Arabidopsis thaliana: one gene and its partners. The protein of the gene in region 4 interacts with the protein of the main gene of each other region in a pairwise test. Each region holds a gene or a part of one and is shown on either strand. Other genes may lie near its edges. The genes, in order: AT1G65720, GPT, PIP1C and PIN5.

What was found.
Region 1: the proteins of PIN5 (region 4) and AT1G65720 interact in a protein complementation assay, tested with the Arabidopsis thaliana proteins (one large-scale study listed by BioGRID).
Region 2: the proteins of PIN5 (region 4) and GPT interact in a protein complementation assay, tested with the Arabidopsis thaliana proteins (one large-scale study listed by BioGRID).
Region 3: the proteins of PIN5 (region 4) and PIP1C interact in a protein complementation assay, tested with the Arabidopsis thaliana proteins (one large-scale study listed by BioGRID).

What each region holds. Positions count from the first base shown.
Region 1 is NC_003070.9:24,438,413-24,443,460, forward strand, and holds AT1G65720 (uncharacterized protein), read right to left. Parts: upstream 2,662-5,048; 5' UTR 2,602-2,661; coding exon 2,059-2,601; 3' UTR 1,240-2,058; downstream 1-1,239. Other genes in the region: AT1G65710 (serine/arginine repetitive matrix-like protein), read right to left, coding at 1-12; YSL7 (YELLOW STRIPE like 7), read left to right, coding at 4,227-4,605.
Region 2 is NC_003071.7:17,299,348-17,305,780, reverse strand, and holds GPT (UDP-glcnac-adolichol phosphate glcnac-1-p-transferase), read right to left. Parts: upstream 4,210-6,433; 5' UTR 4,020-4,209; coding exon 3,637-4,019; intron 3,559-3,636; coding exon 3,471-3,558; intron 3,383-3,470; coding exon 3,291-3,382; intron 3,202-3,290; coding exon 3,083-3,201; intron 2,975-3,082; coding exon 2,859-2,974; intron 2,770-2,858; coding exon 2,642-2,769; intron 2,548-2,641; coding exon 2,461-2,547; intron 2,297-2,460; coding exon 2,236-2,296; intron 2,142-2,235; coding exon 2,101-2,141; intron 2,019-2,100; coding exon 1,898-2,018; intron 1,811-1,897; coding exon 1,751-1,810; 3' UTR 1,570-1,750; downstream 1-1,569. Other genes in the region: LIS (WD-40 repeat family protein / small nuclear ribonucleoprotein Prp4p-like protein), read left to right, coding at 1-4, 411-867, 970-1,167, 1,271-1,462.
Region 3 is NC_003070.9:224,457-229,845, forward strand, and holds PIP1C (plasma membrane intrinsic protein 1C), read right to left. Parts: upstream 3,088-5,389; 5' UTR 2,721-3,087; coding exon 2,393-2,720; intron 2,236-2,392; coding exon 1,940-2,235; intron 1,856-1,939; coding exon 1,715-1,855; intron 1,626-1,714; coding exon 1,530-1,625; 3' UTR 1,209-1,529; downstream 1-1,208. Other genes in the region: AT1G01630 (Sec14p-like phosphatidylinositol transfer family protein), read left to right, coding at 4,750-4,887, 4,973-5,268, 5,373-5,389. UniProt on the Arabidopsis thaliana protein: Water channel required to facilitate the transport of water across cell membrane. Its function is impaired by Hg(2+).
Region 4 is NC_003076.8:5,398,635-5,404,417, reverse strand, and holds PIN5 (Auxin efflux carrier family protein), read right to left. Parts: upstream 3,779-5,783; 5' UTR 3,684-3,778; coding exon 3,022-3,683; intron 2,514-3,021; coding exon 2,428-2,513; intron 2,335-2,427; coding exon 2,177-2,334; intron 2,023-2,176; coding exon 1,946-2,022; coding exon of another isoform or gene 1,942-1,945; exon of another isoform or gene 1,865-1,941; coding exon 1,792-1,864; 3' UTR 1,573-1,791; downstream 1-1,572. Other genes in the region: ZFN3 (zinc finger nuclease 3), read right to left, coding at 1-192, 269-388, 478-540, 665-825, 924-981. UniProt on the Arabidopsis thaliana protein: Auxin transporter regulating intracellular auxin homeostasis and metabolism. Mediates the auxin transport from the cytosol into the lumen of the endoplasmic reticulum. May also act as an auxin efflux carrier when located to the cell membrane.

The DNA of each region.
Region 1 (5,048 bases), on a different chromosome or scaffold from region 4:
ACAGCAACCCATTTTGTGACAAAGAATTTTGAAGAACAGAGAGATTTTGAAGTAGAAGTGAGTCAAGAACAAGAGAGTTTTTAGGGGAATGTCTTTTGTGTAAGAAGACAAAAAGATTCAAAACTTCAAACTTTTTTGTTTGGTAATGCGATTTGTGACAGACAAAAGTTCTTTTATTTCAGAAAGTATTCGGATAGGACCCATTACTTTCTAAAATTAAGAAAAGTCGGGTGAAATTGTAAGCTTTGAAGAATAATGGGGTCAAAGTGGAATTAATTTATTTTATTAAAGATAGTAATTTTGAAATTGGAGCCGTTATACACACTGCAGTCAATGTCGTATTATCTCTGACCCTTTTTGCCTTTTTCAAAGCAAAATGGTTCTCTTCAAAAATTCTTTTAATAAGTTTTAGAATTCCAACGGTTATTTGCATGTTTGATGGTTTTGTTTGTTTACCAAAAGAATATGAGGTTACAAATTAGGATATGAAGAAATAAACATCAGTAGTTTCTATTGAAAATAAAATTTCGTTTTATGTATAAATAATTTACTGAGTTTGATTAATGATATTTGTTGTTAATCGAGTGCTTTCATTAATATTAACTCATGTGACCAAACTGAATGGTGATGTGCAAGTTTCTTCATATGTATAGTGGAGGACCCAAAAACAATTTTATTTTATTTTATCAGATAACTAAAATACTGAAAAAGAAACGATAAACAATTTCTTTTGAGGTAGTTTTTTTGAATATATATGTAGTTTTTTAAGAAAAGAGTACCAAGACAATTAGGTTCTTTTGAGGTAGTTTTTTAAGAAAAGAGTATATATGTAGAAAGCAAAATCTTGCACCATTTGTGTTGACAATCGAAAATCGGACCGATTTTGAGACATCTATAGATTCTATTACCAAGACAATTAGGTACTGGATTTTACATACATAAAACAACCTCAAATCAAATAGTAACATAACAAAGGATTGTTACAAGGCAAATAACTACTAGACTAGAGAGAATAAGGCACTTAATTGTTCCTCTGCATCCAAGACATCAACCTTTAAGCTATATACATACACAACGATGACCATTAGCAATAGAAACTAGAGACTCTCAATGCTTTGAAAGCTATGCAAATCAGAAATTAGTATCAATGAGAATCATCCACATATCCTGCGACCTACTTAAAAGGGTCTACCTACTAGGTAGTCAGAAATATAACAAGAAACAGAACAGAAACTAGACACTGCCTAAAGTTCACAATGCTTGAAAGCTATTAAACCACAAAATGGGGCAATAAGAACCATATATACAGATGACCATAAGCAATAGAACCTAGACACTCTCAATGCTCTGAAAGCTATGCAAAACTCAGATTGGGGTCAACCAGAGTCATCCCCATATCCTGCTACCTACTTAAAAAGTCTAGCTACTAGCTAGTCAGTAAGATTACAAGAAACGGAACCGAAACTAGACACTACCTTAAGTATGCAATGCTTGAAAGCTATTAAACAACAAAATGGGGCAATGAGAACCATACACACATATGACCATAAGCAATAGAAAACTAGACACTCCCAATGCTTGAAGGCTGTTCAAAACACAGATTGGTTAACGAGAATCAGACACATATCCTGCGACCTACTTAGGTTCTAGCTAATCAGTGCTTGAAAGAATGAAAGCTATTAAACCACAAAATGGGGCTATGAGAACCATACACATATCCTGCGACCAAGTTAGGTTCTAGCAAGTCAGAAAGAAAACAAGAAACAGACTTCTCGAGTCACGACCTTGGTTCCTTTGATGATCAATCCATTTAAGTATTAAGCTCCTAAACTAGTCACATTGGTATCAAAGATAATGAATAAATCCATAGGTAACATCATAATCACACTTATATATATCTAAGAAACATCAACTACAAATCGTAAAAACACTGATACTTAGAGTATAGTAAGTTTAGATAAATCCATAACAGAGACGAATTTACTTGTACGCAACAACATAGATAAGCAACAACGTAAATCATGATAATATGCAGAAACTGAAATTCACAACCTCAAATCAAGCAGCTTCCTTCACAGGAGCAGGAGCTGGAGCTGGAATCTTAACATAACCCAATTTCTTCAAGCTAGCAGCATCAGATTCATCATTCTCATAATCATCTTCTTCTTCCTCAAAATCATAGCTTTGACGATTCACAACAAGAGCCCAAACAAGATACATAGTAGCAGCGGTTAAAGCACCACAACCAACACCGAACAAAAGCGCGACGACGACGCTAAGAATATCTCTGGTTCGATCTCTAAACGAATTGATGTTATCAGAGATCAAAGGGAGGGAACGATCCGATTGGATCTGTGGCTTCTCGTGACGACGATTGACGAAGAAAGGAACCACGTGGTGAGGATTTAGACGACGGATTGTGAAAACGGTGACGAATCGTGTGGAGGTGAAATCGGATTCGAGGTTAGGGTTTTCTGGGGTTATTGAGAGGGAATATGAGGAGATTAGGAAGGTTTTGCAAGGACGTGCGGTGGTGATGGTGGTGATTGAGAGGAAAGCTACGACGGCGATCGCAAATCGGAGGTACGATGATGACGTCATTGTTATCGTCTTTGACTTCTTCTTCTTCTTCTGACGATTTTGAAGACAAACCTAACCCAAGAAGATTCGGTGAACGAAGAAGATTAAAAAGATTTTCTAAGATACGTGTTATTATGAAATAACCCCTCTACTTTTGTATTTGATCATATAGGTCCCTTTTATCTTCTTTTCTTATAAAAGGTGCCAAAATATTATTTAATTTTGACTTAACTATTTTAAGTCTAAATCTCATTATTTATACTCACATAAGCAAACAATAGATTTATTTCTCTATTTATCTAATTTTCAATAGGTTAATTGTTAATTGATATGAATTTTGTCCAAGTTATACAAGTTCTAATACCACAAATAGTTTGTGTAATATGTGAATAGTCTGAACCCACCTCGCATATAATCAAACTTCTAGTAGTTATAAATTCATAAGATTTTTGTTATTCTAAGCAAGTTAATGATGCATTCATGGTCAATATCAAGTTAACCATTTGTTTATTAATATAGTATAGTCAAACTTTCACATTTTATATTTATTAGTCAATATTAATAGCTAAGATTTTTTTACCTAATTATTATGGTTAGAGAATCTAAATGAAAATTCTATCTAGTCACTCATAGTCTCGTACCATAGAATAAGAGCACGACACTTTCGAATATTCCAACTTTTCTCTTATTTAAAATAATCCTCTCCTTTCTTGTAAACAAAGAGCTAGGTTAGACTTAAATTTAGCAGCGGTCACAGAGCGATAAAGGAAAAAAATGACGATCTCAAATGCCACGACATGACATGATAGAATCTTTGAGGCCAGCCATGAGCCCATGAGGATCATCCTTCGTGGCAAAGCCAGCTCACGTTTAGAGTCTTTAACAATGTAGTGAGAGAACATAAAAATGAAAATGTCAAATCGGTGTAAACGTTTGGACACATAGTTTTTATTTTTTTTGGTCTTTCCACATAAATAATTTGGTACTATTGAAAAGCGATAGAAATATTTTTTTTTTGGGAAAATTGTGGTAGAAAAAGTAAAATTCCCTTGTAATCTTTAATTATAAAAAATATTGGTTAATAGTTAAGTACTCCGAAATTAAAAGTAATTTGAAGAACAACTCACTATATAAACGACTATTGTTCTGAAATCAAATGTTCAAACAATATTTACGTGTATTTTCATTTTAATATTTTAATTCTTTTCAAAAAAACACATTTGCAACTAAAACTTAATTCTGTTAAGATTAATACAATCTACGACCCGTCATAATTGGCTCGTTTAACACGTAAACATGTCATAATCTAAATTCCAAAATCCATTTACGTATCAATTTAATTAACTCTAAATCCACACCAAAGAAAAAACTCAGATTTTACACTGTGTATACACACCACACCATAGTCCACGTGCACGTAGGTTAATTATTTATAAAAAAAACACATTTGACTTATAAATATAGAAATATTAAAACAGATTCGCTTCTCTCTCTCACTCACACAATAGAGAGAATCATTCAGTTACAAGAAAATCGTCCTCTTCTCTCGCCGATCTCTTCTCTTCAGATCCTCTCCTCTATAAAATCTCTCCCTCTCTCGTTCCCCTCCTCAGATCTGACTCAAATCAAATCAAAAACTCTCAGCTATGGAAGTCGAACGATCGAAGAAAGACGACGATCTAAACAATGGATCTAAATCCAACGAAGAAGAAGAAATCTCCGTGGAGAGAATCTTCGAAGAGAGTAACGAAATCCCACCGCCGTGGCAAAAACAGCTCACGTTCAGAGCTCTAATCGTGAGTTTCATACTCGCGATTCTCTTTACCTTTGTGGTGATGAAACTGAATCTAACGACTGGGATTATTCCGTCGCTGAATATCTCCGCCGGTTTGCTTGGTTTCTTCTTTGTTAAAAGTTGGACTAAGATTCTTAATAAAGCTGGTTTTCTTAAACAACCGTTTACACGGCAAGAGAATACTGTGATTCAGACTTGTGTCGTCGCCTCCTCCGGCATCGCCTTTAGCGGTACGTTTTTTTGTTTGTTGATGTGAACGCGTCGATGGAATTTGGTGTCGCCGTCTTTAATTTTGTTTCTATTTACGGCTAAAACTTTTTTGCTGTTAGGTCTCTATTGAAAATGACAGAGTATATACTTCTTTTTTGTGTTTATCGCTTTCTAAAAAAAAATATGAAAATTAAATAAACTATATAGTTGTTTAAAAAATATAATATGTGCAATAGTTAAAAAATTAAAACCGATCAAGTTAAAACCTAGACTAGGAAACTAATATCACACGATCTTTTTTGATAAAAATAAATGTGTATGGGTTTGATACTTCTTTGCAGTATGTCAAAATCAAGTGGATACTTCATACTTTCTTTAGTATGTCAAAATCAAAGTTGATTAGTGAGTGACGTGAGAGATTCATATCCGAGAGCAATGTGTATGACTTTTTTTTTTGTTATAA
Region 2 (6,433 bases), on a different chromosome or scaffold from region 4:
CATGGTATGTCTCTCTTCTATCTCCTTCTCACTCTCAACACAAATTCACATATTCTCCACATATTGTTTCTTAGGCTTGAAACTATTTTTCCTCGTCTCTATTTGATTAGAGTTACCTGGACTAGATTGCATTCTACCTGCATATTCATTTTCATTGATATATCAGTAGAGAAGTATCTTAATAATCCTGTTCTTAAACACTGAACTTGCTGATTTTCCTCACTTTTAAACACTGCACCTTTATAAAACCATGAAGTTAGTTAGGCCTATAGTTTATCTTATAGATAGCATACTCCATGTCTATTGCATTTGCCCTTTCTAACTGCATTACGCATTCTCTAGGTTCATGACTTGTGTGATTCACATAGTTCCCTTCTGTTTAGTAATTCATCGATTTTTTTTTTGTCTAGTTCTCTGAGTGGAGTTACTAAATTGTGGGAGATGCCTCAAGTTACAAACACGATTGCTGTCTTGAAGGATCACAAAGAACGTGCAACTGATGTAGTGTTCTCCCCAGTGGATGATTGTCTAGCGACTGCTTCTGCTGATCGAACTGCAAAGCTGTGGAAAACTGATGGAACACTCCTACAAACGTTTGAAGGTCATTTGGATCGTCTGGCACGTGTTGCTTTCCACCCATCAGGGAAATACCTGGGAACTACAAGCTATGACAAGACGTGGAGATTGTGGGATATAAACACAGGAGCAGAACTGCTTTTGCAAGAAGGCCATAGCCGCAGTGTCTACGGAATTGCATTTCAACAAGATGGAGCATTAGCAGCTTCTTGTGGGCTTGATTCACTCGCACGAGTTTGGGATCTCCGCACTGGTAGGAGTATTCTTGTCTTCCAAGGACACATCAAACCGGTAAGATTCTAATTTTGTTCCATTGGTCCTCCTCGTATCCAAGCAAAAGTGATTATTTACTAACCCTTGTTTTAATATCCTCTGTTTTATATGTTTCTTCAGGTTTTCTCCGTGAATTTCTCTCCTAATGGTTATCACTTGGCATCTGGTGGGGAGGATAATCAATGCCGTATTTGGGATCTAAGAATGAGAAAGTCATTGTACATTATACCAGCTCATGCTAACCTTGTGTCTCAAGTGAAGTATGAGCCACAAGAAGGCTACTTTCTGGCCACTGCCTCATACGACATGAAAGTCAATGTAACTACTTCTATAATCCCTTGCCTTAGTATTTTTTTTTTTTTCAGTCTTCTGTTTCATTGGCTTATAGTTTGATTCCAATTTCTTATATTTTGTCTACCAGATATGGTCAGGAAGAGATTTCTCGCTCGTTAAAAGCTTAGCAGGGCATGAGTCAAAAGTCGCCTCTCTAGATATCACAGCAGATAGCTCGTGTATCGCTACTGTATCACATGATCGCACCATCAAGCTATGGACAAGCAGTGGAAATGATGATGAAGACGAAGAGAAAGAAACAATGGACATAGATCTCTAGTTTCATTTTTCATGTTTGTGCAAGAAAAAAAACTTGGGATCTAGGGATTTCGAGATTAGCTTGTTAGAGAAACTCATTAAATTGTATTTGATCTCTTGTCGGGAATTATAGAAACTCAGGATGCTGATACATTGTCTTGAAAATTTTGCCATTTCGTTCAACAAAAAGCAAATGAATGAACTTTGTTTACTTGAGAATACTTCAACACGTTAACAAAAATTGTTGATATATACGATTGTACAAGGTACTAAAGTAATGTTCTGTATTTGTGACTTCTCTGATTGCAGACTATTTATACCAACCAGCAAGAAAGTGTCGAAGTATGAAGCAGAAGGCGCAGGCTAGAGCCTGTAGCAAAAACAAGCAGAGTATGACAACACTAAAGCGACTACTTCATTATATACGAATGGCGATATACATATATCTGAGACCTACCTGGAAAACGAGAAGATGGATGCAAAGAGACTTTTCTGATTTAGGACCAAACAACCTCAAGTAAACATTGACGAGTGTCCCATCTTTTGTGCCGGTCAGTAATCCGGTAGCAGGATCATACCTGGATATTTTCAAAAGACAAGATGAGTGATGCGTCTGTTCTTTAATCAGTCTACAAAGGGTAAGAAAACAAAGGGGGTTACCTTGGGAGACGATGGCGCGGACATTTCACAATCCCAGCAAGCTGAAGAGTTATCATATATAGTATGTTAAATTTTTGAAACATGAGTTGACAAGATTATACGTATGCCATAGAAGAGTGAAAAGGTGATATGAACCTGAGGAAGCGATAATAGAAAGTTCAGAACTTGAGGAAGAAAGAAGATGAGGAGGGTTTCACTGCAGAAGCAAAATTTCAATACAGAAAGATGGCATGGGAATCAGTTGCATGGTCATACAGTAGCTGGATATATGATGCAAATGATCAATCTAAGAGTTGGTAGTTTCCATGTATTAGTGAAGTGCCTGTGCCTCAGAGAAGATAAGTGGGTTTGGAAGTATACCTGAAGTGACCCAGAATACCAACAACTGCCATAGTCATTCCGGCGAAGACTGTGTAAGTGTCTCCAACAAAAACTGAAGAAGGATACCTAACAGCAGAAGATTGCGAGAACTGGTCAGAAATATCATTACTTCCACTCAAAAAAAAAAAGTTTTAAAGAGAAAGCCTGCTAGGGATTTTACCAATTGTAAGCAAGCATTGCCAAGGATGTGGCCATCAGCGGTTGAGTAAGAAATATCGAGAAGGCATGAGCTTGGTGATACTCGGGATCAACAGATGCTCCGATTTGCATAACGTTGTGTATCAGGATCTACAGGTAACTGGGATGCATCATATCTCAACCCAAAAGAAACAAAATGAGAAAAATTCAGAGACATTATGTATGACCATAAGACTTACAGCAGCGGCAATAACAACTGTTTGACCGATTTCAAGGCCATTCAGACCAGCGTGGATGTTAATAGAGTTTGTACAAAAGACAGCAAGTAGCCCCATATATAACTTATATATCCTTCCTGCCACGTTAAAACATCTATTGAGCTAATCATAATCATTTACCTCCTCAAAAGAAAAATACAAGTCAATGTGTACAAATAGGTGGTATCATGTACAAGAACCATTACCTAGATTAAGCACTTCCAAGCCAATATAAGCAACAAGAGGTTTTGGTATAACAATAGTTGTATGACCAGCATAAGCCATCAAAAGTGGAAGGGTAGCAAAAGATGGCAGGACAAGCTTTCTGTTGTTTAAATTGACAACAGTAAACATGTGAATCAAAAACGATAAGCGTGAATTTCATCAAAAAAATATGTAGGAATTAGGACTTACACTCTCCAAGGCACATCAAGGACATCATCTACAAATCCAAGCAAAATCATGAAGCAAATAGATGCTAGTGCTGCATTATACTCCACAAGCCACTGCACAGAATCATCAGCCAGACTCACAAACATTGATAATGAGAATAACCACAGAGATTAATAAAACAAGACGTTAATGCACACTTACATTAGAATCTTCAGTGAAGTTAAAATACTGAAATATTATCGCCACGATCAAAAAGACAATACCAACAACAATACCCAATGACTCTGGCCTGAAAACAAAGAGGATGAAGAAATTTTAATCAAACTAATCTTAATCTTTGGAAAATCAGAGATTGATAAAAACTCACACTTTAATATCTCCTTGAGGCGTGCCTCTTTTGTTGATATCAAAACCAAACATGTTACGTCTCAGAACGTATCTGGCAGTAACAGGAATCATTTTGAGAGTGACGAAAAACCCAACCAAGCTAAGCCCCGCGTTAATTAGAATCGATCGCTTGAGCTCATTATCAACCTTGTAGTGAAAACAGAGAAGGTATAGATAGAGCGAACAGAGAAGAGTAGAGATCACGAAGATCACTCCTAATTTCGGCGGCGCGAGACGAAATTCCTCACCGGAAGCAGAAACCGTCTTTCGGGTCATCTTCTGCTCCGATGGCGCTGAGTTGGGTTCCGACGGGTCCGGTTTGTTGGGAATTGAGATCGATGAAGCTCTCTTACGAGCTGCCATGGCGGATTTGTTGGCTCGTTTCGTTTCCCCGCGCTCTGGATTTTGACTCCAAACTCCGTTCGCCTGAGAAAGGATTCTTCAGAGCAATTCCCGTTCTGCGTCATATAGACCAATAAGGATTTGCCACGTCGCTTCAAATACGACACCGTGTCATCGAAATAGAACTTTATGGATTAATCATAACTTTAATTATTCGTATTAAGTACAAGAATATATCTTGGATTATACTTATAGAACTCTCTTTTTTTAAGAAAAAAATGCATAAATTTTGCTAAGAATTTTGTTGTAGCAACACATCAGCATGACATAAAGCAACTATTAAAAATTAAAACTAAAACTTATATTTAAAAGATTATGTAATAATATAGTTATTAATTAATAGTCATAATTTTTAACAAAGTTTCTTTTAATATAAAAATTGACATAGAAAATTATTTATTTTGAAGATTTTTTTATTGATAAGATGAAGAAGATGATCCATGCGACATTTGCTCACTAGTTACGCTTCCATCATTGGGAGCTTTGAGATGATCATTTTGAAGAAGAACATTCAGATGAAATCTCTGAAGAAGACGTAGTGCTCACAGAAGAAACTTGCACACTACTTTCTTTATCCGTAGAAGTTTGAGAGCTACTAGAATTATCACTATTTTCATCTTTTGTTACACAACTACACCAGTTTCCCATTAATGTCCCTACAAACATAATAAAAAATGTTAAAGTTGCTAAATTATATCTTAGTTTTTTTTGTAAGTGTTTTCAAATTAACTGAATAGTACTTATTGGTCTGTAGGATCAGTTTCGAAAATGCAACAACCCATTGTAATTTAAAATAAGTTTTTGTAAATGTACCTTAGCTTGAATCTCCTCAGAGTTTGTTATGATCTCTAGCTACACAATTCATCTTTTTATAGTGAGAGAAAAATATCTCAAAATTCAATACAAAATCTTTTACTATTAATTACTTTTTTTTTTTACAAGATCGAATCGACCTATTATTAGAACTTGGATGCATATGGATCATGATTTATGTCACAAAAGTTTTGTGATATTTAATCATAATCTAAACATTTTCTATGTCTTCTACTATATTTTGACACTTGTGTGTAAGACATAAATGGTAAGAGGAAATATTATTGATAGTGTTTTTTTTTTTTTGGATTTGGGTCAAAAATATTGTGGGGGGAAGCCACGTGTACAAATAAAAGTAAAATTTAGTTAAGACAATAAATATGAGAGTTAATGTATGTATCTTAGAAACAAAAAAAAAATATTAAGTATGAAATATAAGGAAAGATATAGCAAAAAAAGTAAGAATAAATCAACATCTTATTATATAAAATATGGTTTTCAAAGTTATTAACTCATAAGATTATGCCACGTGTCAAGTCTATCGATCAGATGTTGCCATGTGTAAGAAAATAATTAACCATTTTCTTCTTAAAGAAATAGAAATACTAAAAAATAAATTAATTAACTTTTTTCTTCTTAAAGAAATAGAAAACTAAAAAATAAATCATTATTAACATATACTAATTCATATTTCTATATCTAAAAAATATTACATTTTATTTTTCTTAACCAAAAGAAAAATTAACAAAAAAAAATCTTATTATATAAAGTATGGTTTTCAAAGTTACTAACTCATAAGATTATGCCACGTGTCAAGTCTATCGATCAGATGTTGCCATGTGTAAGAAAATAATTAACTTTTTTTTTCTTAAAGAAATAGAAAACTAAAAAAAGAAATCATTATTAACATATACTAATTCATATTTCTATATCTAAAAAATATTACATTTTATTTTTCTTAACCAAAAGGAAAATTAACAAAAAAAATATATATATATGTTATTGGTCAAATTTTTAATATATATGGTATTAACAAATGTTTTATTATTATGAATTATGTTTTGTTAATTGTTAATAATTTTTAATATTAACTAAGATATAGATTTGATCTTATATATATATATTATTTTGACATGAAATCATTATCAAGTAAGATGAAGTGTGTAAAATTAAAATCGAGTTTTTTATGAAATAGATAGTTAAATTGTATTACAAAATTGAATGTATAAGATAAAATTTTATTTTTTCTTCTAAATACTAAATTACAATAAAGAAAAAGTGTGTAGGTTACTATTTAGACTTCAAATATCATCAATAAGATTGAATGGGTATAACAAAATAAAATGCATAAGACTACTATTTTACTATTCAAAATTATATATCAAGAACAATGTATCGATTATTATTTTACTATTCAAAATTTAAATATTATCGATAAAAATTACATTTACATCTTATACCCGCTTATTTAGGCGGGCTTTATCTAGTAAGAAATAAAATATAGATAACCAAGATATATTGTAACAACGTTACATGTCACGCATCCATACAGACAGAGACAC
Region 3 (5,389 bases), on a different chromosome or scaffold from region 4:
ATTAACCCTTCTTATTTCTTTATCTCCATGAGAAATTAAATGTTCACATCACATGATTCGTAACAAAGGTTTCAATTGACACTTATTTTTTTCTAATATATTTAAGTTAATATGAGTGATTATTTGATTAGGGTATTTATTAGATGATGGAATTTGGTGTATACATAAATATAATTTTGGTCACACGCGGTTCAGTTACTTTCTTTTTGTTGATTGACATGAAAGAAAGTAGTTTAGTAGTTCACCTAAATGGAAGGCTGTATAATTAATTGGGTGAGTTATTATAAATTTATAATATGTGGGTTGGCATTGTGTGTATATACTATATAGTATCCAACTATACGTGAAACATTAAAGTCGACGGCCGCCTGACCAAGTTAATTATATGAAAATGACTTTTATATATTGGTAGCATTTAATTTTGATTGCAATATTTACGTATCAAGGAGCCGTCGACAGAGTTATAATGCTAATTGAGTTAATTGACTTTATACTAGGTTTAAATAATTAACTCCTTAATTTATAATAATTAAGGGATTAAGACGGTTTTCTTTTTCTTTGTCCGCGTATCATGGATGGTCACTCAAATGTCAATGGTATATTAATAAAACGGTAAAATAGTTGGGAGTTGGAGAGCCATTGAGCCATATGCATTCATACTTACGGATATGAGTGTAACAGTATTCCCCTAGTATGAGTATAATAACTACTTACACGCTATGGAAATTGAAACTGCATCACGTGAACCTTAGCTTACAAAGAAAAGTGACTTATGCGTGTATACATATATGTGTGTTTGAGATAAATTACCAAAATATGCATGCAATTATGTACAATGAAAATTATGAAATAGAATTTATTTCCAAGAAGATAACAAACTTATCATAAACATTCACTTTGAAGATATGAAACTGAAAAGTAAAAACTAAAAAAAAAAAAAGGTGTGAAGCAGTGGGTAGGTAATCCACTTTGACGAGGTTATTGTAGAATAAGTAAGAATGTTTTATCTCAACTTGGTTGGCTATCTATCGCAACAAATTAAGGTGGAGTGATGCCGTTGATGGACATATTATGGGATACTAGTTGTATCCATAAAGAGTGCGAAAAAGGCCCAATGTAAATGGGCTTAATACCCACTTGGTTAACGTGGCCCATAAAGAGTGCGCAAGAGGCCCAATGTAAATATGGGCTAAATACCACGTAAACTAGTTGAGTCGATGACCCGAGAAACCAAGCCGAAACAATATGGATCTTACTCAATTTGTACCGAACCAAACCAGAAGAAAATCAAATTAACAAATTCCTCTTGAAAATTTCTCGAGTCTAACGACAAAAGCAAAATTAAAATCGTACCAAATCAATCATAATATCAAACTCCATTTAACGATAAAACCAGATCATCCACAGCAAATAAGAAAAAGACAAGTCCATTAATTAAAATAAACACATGATCCAGATCTCTCAAATATTTTCAAGCTCAATTACAAACCAAGATGCAACAATGAAGTTTTATAAAGAAAGAAATCAAATCAGGATCTGGACTTGAATGGAATGGCTCTGATGACAAGTTGGTGGTAAAGAGCCGCAAGAGCTGCTCCAATGAATGGTCCGACCCAGAATATCCACTGCAAACCACAATCAAACCACAATCAAACCAAAGTGACAAAGACATATAGAAAGACAAATCAACCAAATGATGTAATGGGGTACTCACGTGGTCGTCCCAAGCGTGGTCCTTGTTGTAGATGATTGCAGCTCCAAGACTCCTAGCTGGGTTAATTCCTGTTCCGGTGATTGGAATCGTCGCCAAGTGAACCAAGAACACAGCGAATCCGATTGGGAGTGGTGCCAAAATCTGCAAAAAAAATAACCCTAAATTATGAATCTTTTTCTAAACACCCAAAACAATAAATTAAGAGGAATCAAAACAAAATTATACCGGAACGTGGGAGTCACGAGCGCTTCTCTTGGCGTCAGTGGCGGAGAAGACCGTGTAGACAAGGACGAAGGTTCCGATTATCTCAGCACCCAAACCAGAGCCCTTAGTGTAGCCGTGAGCGACTGTGTTGGCTCCTCCGCCGAGAGTTTGGTAAGGATTTGGCTGGAAGCCTTTGACAACTCCGGCGCCGCAGATGGCTCCGAGACATTGCATCACGATGTAAAAGACAGCTCTCGTCAATGACAGCTTACGAGCCAAGAACAGACCAAATGTCACCGCTGGGTTTATGTGCCCACCTGTGAAACACACACACACACACACTCATCAGAATCAACTCTAAATTAAGATCTCTTTGAGAAAAATCGAAAACTAAAAGCAGAGCTACAAGGGTTTGAAGCATGCAACAAAAGACCAATTCTACTTGTATTAAGAAGATAAAAAAAATGGGGTTACCAGAGATTCCAGCAGTACAGTAGACAAGGGCAAAGATCATGCCACCGAAAGCCCAAGCAATGCCTTGGATTCCAACAGAGGCACACATGTTTGGTGCTCTCTTCACTCCCATCACTGTCAATACTGTTATGTATAGAAACAGGAAGGTGGCTATGAACTCGGCGATTCCGGCTCTGTAGAAGGACCACGAACTCAGCTCGCCTGGCTCGAAAAATGGAGCTGGTGGTGGCTCCTTGTAGTCTTTGTCCGTCTGAGCCGATGTACCTATCGGTTGCCTCTCCGGGAACTTGTTAGCTCCCACTCGAACATCCTCTTCTTTCCCTTCCATCTCTATCTAGAAAACGTTCAAGTGTTCTTTGCTTTTTTTCTTCTTTTCTACAATGGGTAATGAGAGTGGCTGAGATAGAGAAAGAATGGTTTTATAGAGGCGAGAGAGAGAGAGAATAGAAAAAGCAAAAAAAACTAACGTCTCGAAACTATTATGATATATTTAAATAATGAGAAATACAGGGAATCATGGATAACGATGATCTTCGTAAAAGCATATTTATTTACGTTAATAATTGTAATAGCCTACTACTTGATGATGTTTAATCATGTAACACAACCCACGCTTATACTAATTCTGTTGCGTTGGCTAACTATTAGTATTATATTCTGAAACTCCTTATAAAGATAGCATGTTTGACCTAATTTATTCTCAAATGCCTTGCTACAGGAGTACTACTCAGTCAGCAGTTAGAAATGTAAAAAAAAATATTACAGTGCCAGAAAACTCACAAAGGACTAACTTTTTGACTAGTCGACGAATTAATAATTTACTTCCGACCGTTGGAGAAGAAAAGGAAAAGAAGTGTGTGGAAAGCGATTGCTTTATGTAAAGTAACATAGTCTCGAACATTGTGCCGGGCCTAGAGTATTTTTAAAATGTTTAATTAAATTACTATGTGTACTACTAGTGACAAAATAATCACAATGATTGTGAATTTGAGGTTTTTCAATTAAACGATATATATTTTAGAAAAAAAGAAAATGAAAATTGGAGATAAGGTTCAATTTTGCGGGGGTTTCCAGCTCAGAAATGGATTTTGCTTTTCTGTGATCACATGTTCGTTTCCCTATTCCCACTTTCCTTTTTCTATCAATCTATTCAAACCTAACAAAAATAAAATTCAAAACTCTGTTGTTGTTATCAATTCACATATTTTTAACGCTATATGAGCCATACTTTACTAGTTAAATGGAGTTTAGTGTTTAGGATTCAAACCCTATTAGTTTTGTTGATGTTGTCTTACCCGAACAATAATTGAATTTATAAACAGATTAACTCTATTGTAGATATCGATTTTTAAAAAACTGAAAAGGGAAACAAATAATCCGAAGCTAAACTATATGATTAAGAAACACCTTTTATTGAACTAGTGGTGGGGTTTGCCATTTTTCGAAACGCAACCCACACACACACATCACAGTCGTCTAGCTGCCCAACCAACAGAATCACGACACGTGGTTGAAGAGGCAAATATGTGTTGGTGGTGTTTACTGGGGCGGTCCCGACCAAAGTCCGTATATGACATCCTTTCTCAGTTGTACAAATCACATTTCATTATAATTCATTTCATCGAATTATCTATCTTTTAAATTTTATCAATATCTTTTTTTGTTAGAGGCGTGGACCGTATGAATGTATGATAGTATAGAAATAGAAATAATAACGTTGGCATTGTTATTTAACAAGCAAACAAATGATTAGGTTGATTGATGAACAAGCAATGACTAGGTTGATGAATTTTAATTGTTACTGACTTTGTCTGTGTACGTAGCTGGTACTTAGTTGGTACATGCCTATCAAAAGAAAAACTAATATTTTGCAACGAAGCAGATCCTTCATTGCTTACATACATGTGGAAAAAGATACGATCAATATTTTAAAAAATCGTGAATTGAATTTTGTTTTATACACACAGACGACAGACAAGCTTCTGACGTGGGCTCAAAACACTAAAACGGCCTCTGAATCAGTCAACACTTTGAGGCATGAGAGATTGATTAAACCACAGACCAAGTCTTTACGACAAATCAACTCGAGCCCAATAGGCTCTAATAAGGCCCAATACGATATAATCGTCTTCTTCCTGTAGAGTCGGGGACCTGGGATTAGTCAATAAATGAGTAGAATTTTTGTAAGGAAGAGAGTAGTTGGTGAGCGTCGCCATTGAAGGGGAAAGCAGCCCAACTTTGCATTGAATGACACTTAAAATCTTTCTCTCAGCAGCTGTCTTCATTTATGATCGATCCTACTTCTTTCTTCTCTCTACCAATTTCAAGATCTGGTCGTCGCTCACAGGAGAAACGTAATGGAAAACAAAGAGACCAAGCAAGAACCAGCAGCAGCAGCTGAGCAAAAGACCGTTCCGTTGATCGAAGATGAGATCGAGAGGAGCAAAGTCGGGATCATGAGAGCTCTCTGCGACCGACAAGATCCTGAAACTAAGGTCCCTATCGATTTCTTTAAGTAAAAAAAGAATTCAACCAGAAAAGTATTGATTTGATAAAAGCCCTAATGATTTGGATTTGCAGGAGGTGGATGATCTGATGATAAGGAGGTTTCTGAGAGCGCGTGACCTGGACATTGAAAAGGCTTCAACGATGTTTCTAAATTACCTGACTTGGAAGAGAAGCATGCTCCCAAAGGGGCACATACCAGAAGCAGAGATTGCAAATGATCTATCGCATAACAAGATGTGTATGCAAGGTCATGACAAGATGGGTCGACCTATCGCTGTTGCCATTGGGAACAGACATAACCCTTCCAAAGGCAACCCTGACGAGTTCAAGCGTTTTGTTGTCTACACGCTCGAGAAGATTTGTGCTAGGTGAATAATAATAATATTACTACATACATTAAGTTAGTGTGGGTATATAAGAAACCATTTATGCTAATGCTCTTTTTTTGTTTGTTTGAATGTTGTCATGTTAGAATGCCGAGAGGTCAAG
Region 4 (5,783 bases):
GTTTGCAACAAAAGATGTTCTCGACCAAGAATAAGACGGTTGACCAGTTAGAGATTGAAGAGCAGAGTAAACCGGAGAGCCACGAACAGAAACCATCAAGTTGGTTGATTGAGTCTGAGGGTGATTGAATTTACAAGTTCCCCCAAATTTACATTGTCCAATTCTCAAAAAGTAAGAGCAATCATCTTCGTTCTGCAAACAGAACTCATGAGAGAGGCAAAATTTTACAAAGCAGTGGTGAGATTAGAAAGTTGAAATGTATACATACCGGACGTAGAGGATAGCTTAAGACATTAACTGATACACTTCCATCAATACCAGCTTTGTTCCTAGGATGATGAAACTTGCAAGTCACTCCGAATTTGCAGGTCCCTGTCTTCAGATAAAACTGCACAGACACAACAACAAAAATAGAAGCTTTGAGACAATGTGATAACTAGAAGACATTACTATGATAGTAATTCGAAACAGAGCTACCTCACATTCAGGCTGACCAATTCTTTCAGGGTATTCTCCTTTAATCCTTGCAGTTGCTATAACCTAGAAATTGGATACGAGACTATTCATCAGCTTGTAATCACACACACACACAGACCCTCAAAGCTACAAACTTTGAGTCAACAAGATACAGAGGAAAGAACAAACACAGAAACAGAGTCAGTACCAGTTTCCGGTCGTGAGGATGATTGAATCGGCAAGTTGAACCAAACCTACAAAGTCCAGTCCTTATATAATAAGCACAATCTGGCTCTCCGTGACGTTCCGGATAAGACCCATCAACACCCATTGTATCATCTGATCCCAAGTTCATTTGCCACATTGCATCTAAAATTCACAAACCCAACCAAAACCCCACAACAAAAATTCAAGCTGAGGTTTTTAAGATTGAATCAGAACATCAGAGAGGGAATAAAGGATGGTACTTTGGTTAAGCAATGGGGAAAGAAAAGTGCTTTCCCGAGAAATGGAATCAAAATCCATGGAGATGATGAAGAACAATGGCTGTGTCGGTGATTATTAAGCATTAAGAACACACCATAATTCTCTCACTCTAAGAGATTTTCCGATGGGAAGTCCCATCGTTTCTCTTGCTCCCAGGAATCGTCTTCCTCCGATTGTGGAGGGGTTAGAGGAAATGGCAATGCAGGAAGACATTAGAGAATTAGAGATCACGTCTAGAGAGAGAAAGCAGAGAGAGATTGGGAAGAAAGTGTTGCGTTCTCTTCTCTCCTCCACACAAAAGAAAGAAAAAAAACTAAAGAGATTCGGTAAGAAAAACGAATTCGAAAAGACTAAATTACCCCTTTTATCTTCATATTGATTCGGTTGAGGAGAAAGAATAATTTATTTCATAAATCCTGATTTGGTTAGTATGTATGATCATGAATCAAATAATAACAAGATTTTATTTGATCTCTAACCTGAATTTCGTTTCATTTATTCTTTTTTTTTTTTTGTTAACAAAAAAAGGGCTTATAATATTTAGTGTACGTATTAAAACAATTTTAGATCCGAACATGATGTATTTTCATTTATAGAGTTTTTATCTTTTCTTGATACGTATATGTGAACAAAATACTAAATTATGCATACTACGAAAATAAAGAGAGCTTAAGAAAGTATAAAATTAAGCATAAACTAGGTTAATTCATTCAGTTAATGGTTTTCATATCTCGAATATACTTCAAAATCTCCTTTAGGAGGAAAGTGTAAAAGAGATAACAAAAAAAAAAACTTGTGAAAGATGAACAAAGGGTAATATTGATGATATAATCGAATTTATTAGTTTAATCAATGAATAAACTCCAGAGCTGCGTAGTAGGCGACGAGCACAGGTAGAGAGACCAACATCCCAAATATCACCCTACATTTATCAAAATTTTAATTTAATTTCATATTACCATTTTCTTCTTAAATAGACTGAATTTTTAAAATTTGGACTTACGCTGTGCTTAGAACATCTGCATGTAATCCATATTCCTTAGCAAAAATGAACGAAGTAATCGATTGTGGCAAAGCAGCCTGTAAATTTCATATAAATATTAATGATATATTAAACTGAAAAATATAAAGTTAGTATCTTAGTGGATGAATGAATGGAAAATGATCTACTTTTTTTTTTATATACAAACTTCAGTAGAATTAGGGTACAAAAGGATAAAGTAGAATTTATGACCTGAATGATGGCTACGCGGAGGACATCACCGTGGAGGCCAAGGACAATAGAGCCGATGGCCATGGCCGCCGGTCCGGCAATAAACTTCAATACCATTCCCATCACAGTCAAGCTTGTTCCACATACTATCAACTTTTCTTGAAGTGCCATGAATATTCCTGCGTATATATGCATGTATTCACTGTTATCTCAATACTGATACGTAATCTTTACGTATAGAAAGATACTTGCATGGACATAAATAAACGTACCCATATTGAACATGGCCGTTCCTGTTCCTGCTTTTGACATTATAAGAATCGAACCCTCTAATATGCCCGGCAGCTCCAGATGCCATCTATATTTCCAATTAATTTCCATCAATTATTAGACTTAAGTCTTTATTTGTTAGCCAAGAGTATACAAAACACTAATCAAAACCCTAAACCCAAAATTCACACTAAAACAAATAAAATAGAAATTTGGTCAAAGACTCTAATATTCAGATTAAAATCATGATTAGTTTATTTGCATGTACATGTCACGTTTGCAAATTATGTTACCATGTTAAAAATGTCCTAGTCATTTGTCACATGGAAATATAAACGCAAATGCAAAGAAACAATCGTGACCTATATTTCTGTCAAAATTTTAACTATAGATCATCAGGCGCTACACAGAAAAGTAATAATTTAGATGGTTTAAACGTCAAACTATAGATATTTTTAGGCAATTTTAACGGTTGCCTCGGAGTAAGGGGTGGAATTAATGTAGTCTCCTGAGTCCCTGATCACACATACTAATTAACACTTTGTTAAACATCTTATAGGTACCAATATAAAGTTTAATTAAAGATTCATTTTTACCTGTTAGAAATAAAAGCCCATGCGATCCCAAGGATGCAAGAATAGCAATTTGGATTCGTTGCAAGCTTCAACCAAACGAGGGACATGACCTCAAGGAACGACTTCTCTCCCACAACCACAGTTTCTCTTTTTCCACTTTCGATATTGATGTTGTCTACTTGTACGTCGCTGATATTATTACTACTAAATCCGGCTTTTCTAAACTCTAAGACAAACAACAAGAGTGTGAGCCACACGATGGCTTGAAATACCGAGGATTGAACCACCAGATCAACAGCCTGTTGTCCGTACATTGCCTTAGCCAATGGCACACCAACGACAAGAGAGTTAGTAAGAGTGCATAGAGAGAAACTAGTAATGGACCAACAATAGCTTCCTTTGTTGCTATATTTGGCCCACAACGCTAAGACCGTGACTATGATGACCTTAGAGAGGACATCGGCCGCGATGAACCGGTAATTCATGTTGAACGGGTCGACATGGGCCGTGAACTCAATGGTGAAGAGCGGCAGGGTGAAATAGCAAACGAGACGGTTTATAGCATCACATTGATCACGCGTGAAGATGTGCCACCATTTCACAGAGCCATAGCCTAAGATTAAGGCTACATAGAGTGGAACCATTGCTTCGATTACCTTGTAAACATCTCCACAATTTATCATGGTTTTATCAGAAAAATAGAAATGTTGCAGTAGTAGCAAACGAAAGGAAAGAAAACAAAGCTTCTAAATTCGTTCGTAGATAGTAAATGTGTTACGATAGAGAAACCAACATGTTCATATTTATAGATAAATTTTTAATTGTTTTATTTGTTGTAGAAAAAAGATAGGTAATGAGATATCCATGAGTAATATTCAAACAAAAGTAAAGTTTAGATATAAATTAAACAATAATATTTTTTTCTTCGGAATATGATTACGAATATTTATAAATAATTTGGCTAAATTCCTATAGAATAGATACAATTGAAATTTGAGTCTAAATATTTAGATAAAAAAATTAAAATCAACCTCATATTTTTAGCCATTAGTTTAATTGAGAAACAAGAGAGTTATCGTTATCAATATAATTGACCAGACCGTGCCGTGGCATATGATTCTATTCCAATTGTTTCCTGTAAATAGTGAGTGTAGTGTTTGTGTATGACGTAAACATTTCTTTCAATATTTGACTATATTAATTAATGGTAATGTCGCAGAATAAAGAATGAGGTTGCAGCTTTAGCACCATAACTAGAAGATCGTCTCGACCAATATATGTTTTTGGCTGTCGTAACTCGTCGCCACAACACATGAGACTAACCAAATAATATATTTTCAATAATTTATTCGAAATATTTGCTTAATCGTTTTTTTCTTAATCTTAATATTTATATTTATTAACCACTTTCATAAAATGGGAGCAGAACTATGCTAGTGCATGTAATATAAGTAAAGTGCATGGAATAGTTTGTATATATGCCGAAATGGGTATTTGTGCCCTACGACCTGGCGATAGCAACCAATTTCATAACCGACAAAGAGAGATTTCTTATAAGAAAATGAATTTCACTTACTTATACCTAGTGATGATTTGAATGTTTCAATATATTCATGGTTTAAGAAATAACATGTCATGGGTTTTAGAATATGTTAATATATAGATAGATAGAGAAGTCTACAAATAACTTACTTACTTTTATCTTAAACCATGTTTTACGTTGTTTTTTATGTTTCGTTCGATAAAAAATCATATGGCCATGTCTTTCTTCTTTGTTAAAATATCAAAGAACCATATTATACTACGAGCTAGCGAAAAATCTATCATCGTGAGGATTGAGGAAGCCATTCAAGAACTACAAAAGTTTACAGAAAAATTTGTACCTCGTGCTCTTGTCCTTTCTTGCTAGACAACAAATTTATTATTTGCCTTCTGGACTCTAATATAATCACAACAACACATATTGCTAGGTGCAATATCATCATATTAGCACTTTTTAATTCTATGGTATATTTTTGTTTTGTAACCATATATATTGTCCATTCACAAAGTCTTTTCTATTACACATATTCATGATGAGAAAATTGATTTGATCTAATTACTAGAGAATCATGCAGAGGCATAAAATGATCTGGAAAGCATTTATTTATCATTTGATTTGATAATAACATTTTATGGAAACACCTATCTTTACCAAAGATTTGGAACAAATAGAAAAACATAAGCAAACAAATATATATAGTCGGACTAAAACAAAAACAAAAAGGGGGATTTGACTGATGGAACAAAAGTTAAAATCGGTGGATTAGAAATCTGTGAAAACGTGGAGGATGCTTATTCACTGGTGAAATTGAGGGATCATATATAAATATGAATAATAATGCTAGTAGAATAAGTTCTATTTATCACTTGATGATTACAAATCTATAATATGCTTTCAAATTTCTCTCCTGATGTGTTGATATATATTACAGTCTTTTTAATATCAAAAAGGTTTTTGTCTTCTCTCATTCATTCATTCATCGTTAATACTTTTGTTTTTGTGTGACATATTTTCATTATTCTTCTTGAATTATGTCAGAAATAGCTAGCTAGCACGATTGGAAAGTTTATTCAAAATCCATCTTATTTGTTTTGTACTTTTGACGTCATGAATATTATGTTGATGTTTTTTCCCAAACCACAAAAACAAAACAATCAAAGTTTTTCAGACCAGAAAACACTATATGTTGGGGTTTATACTGTTCTTCCTAAATTAGAGTTCGAATTCAAGAGTAGTGATC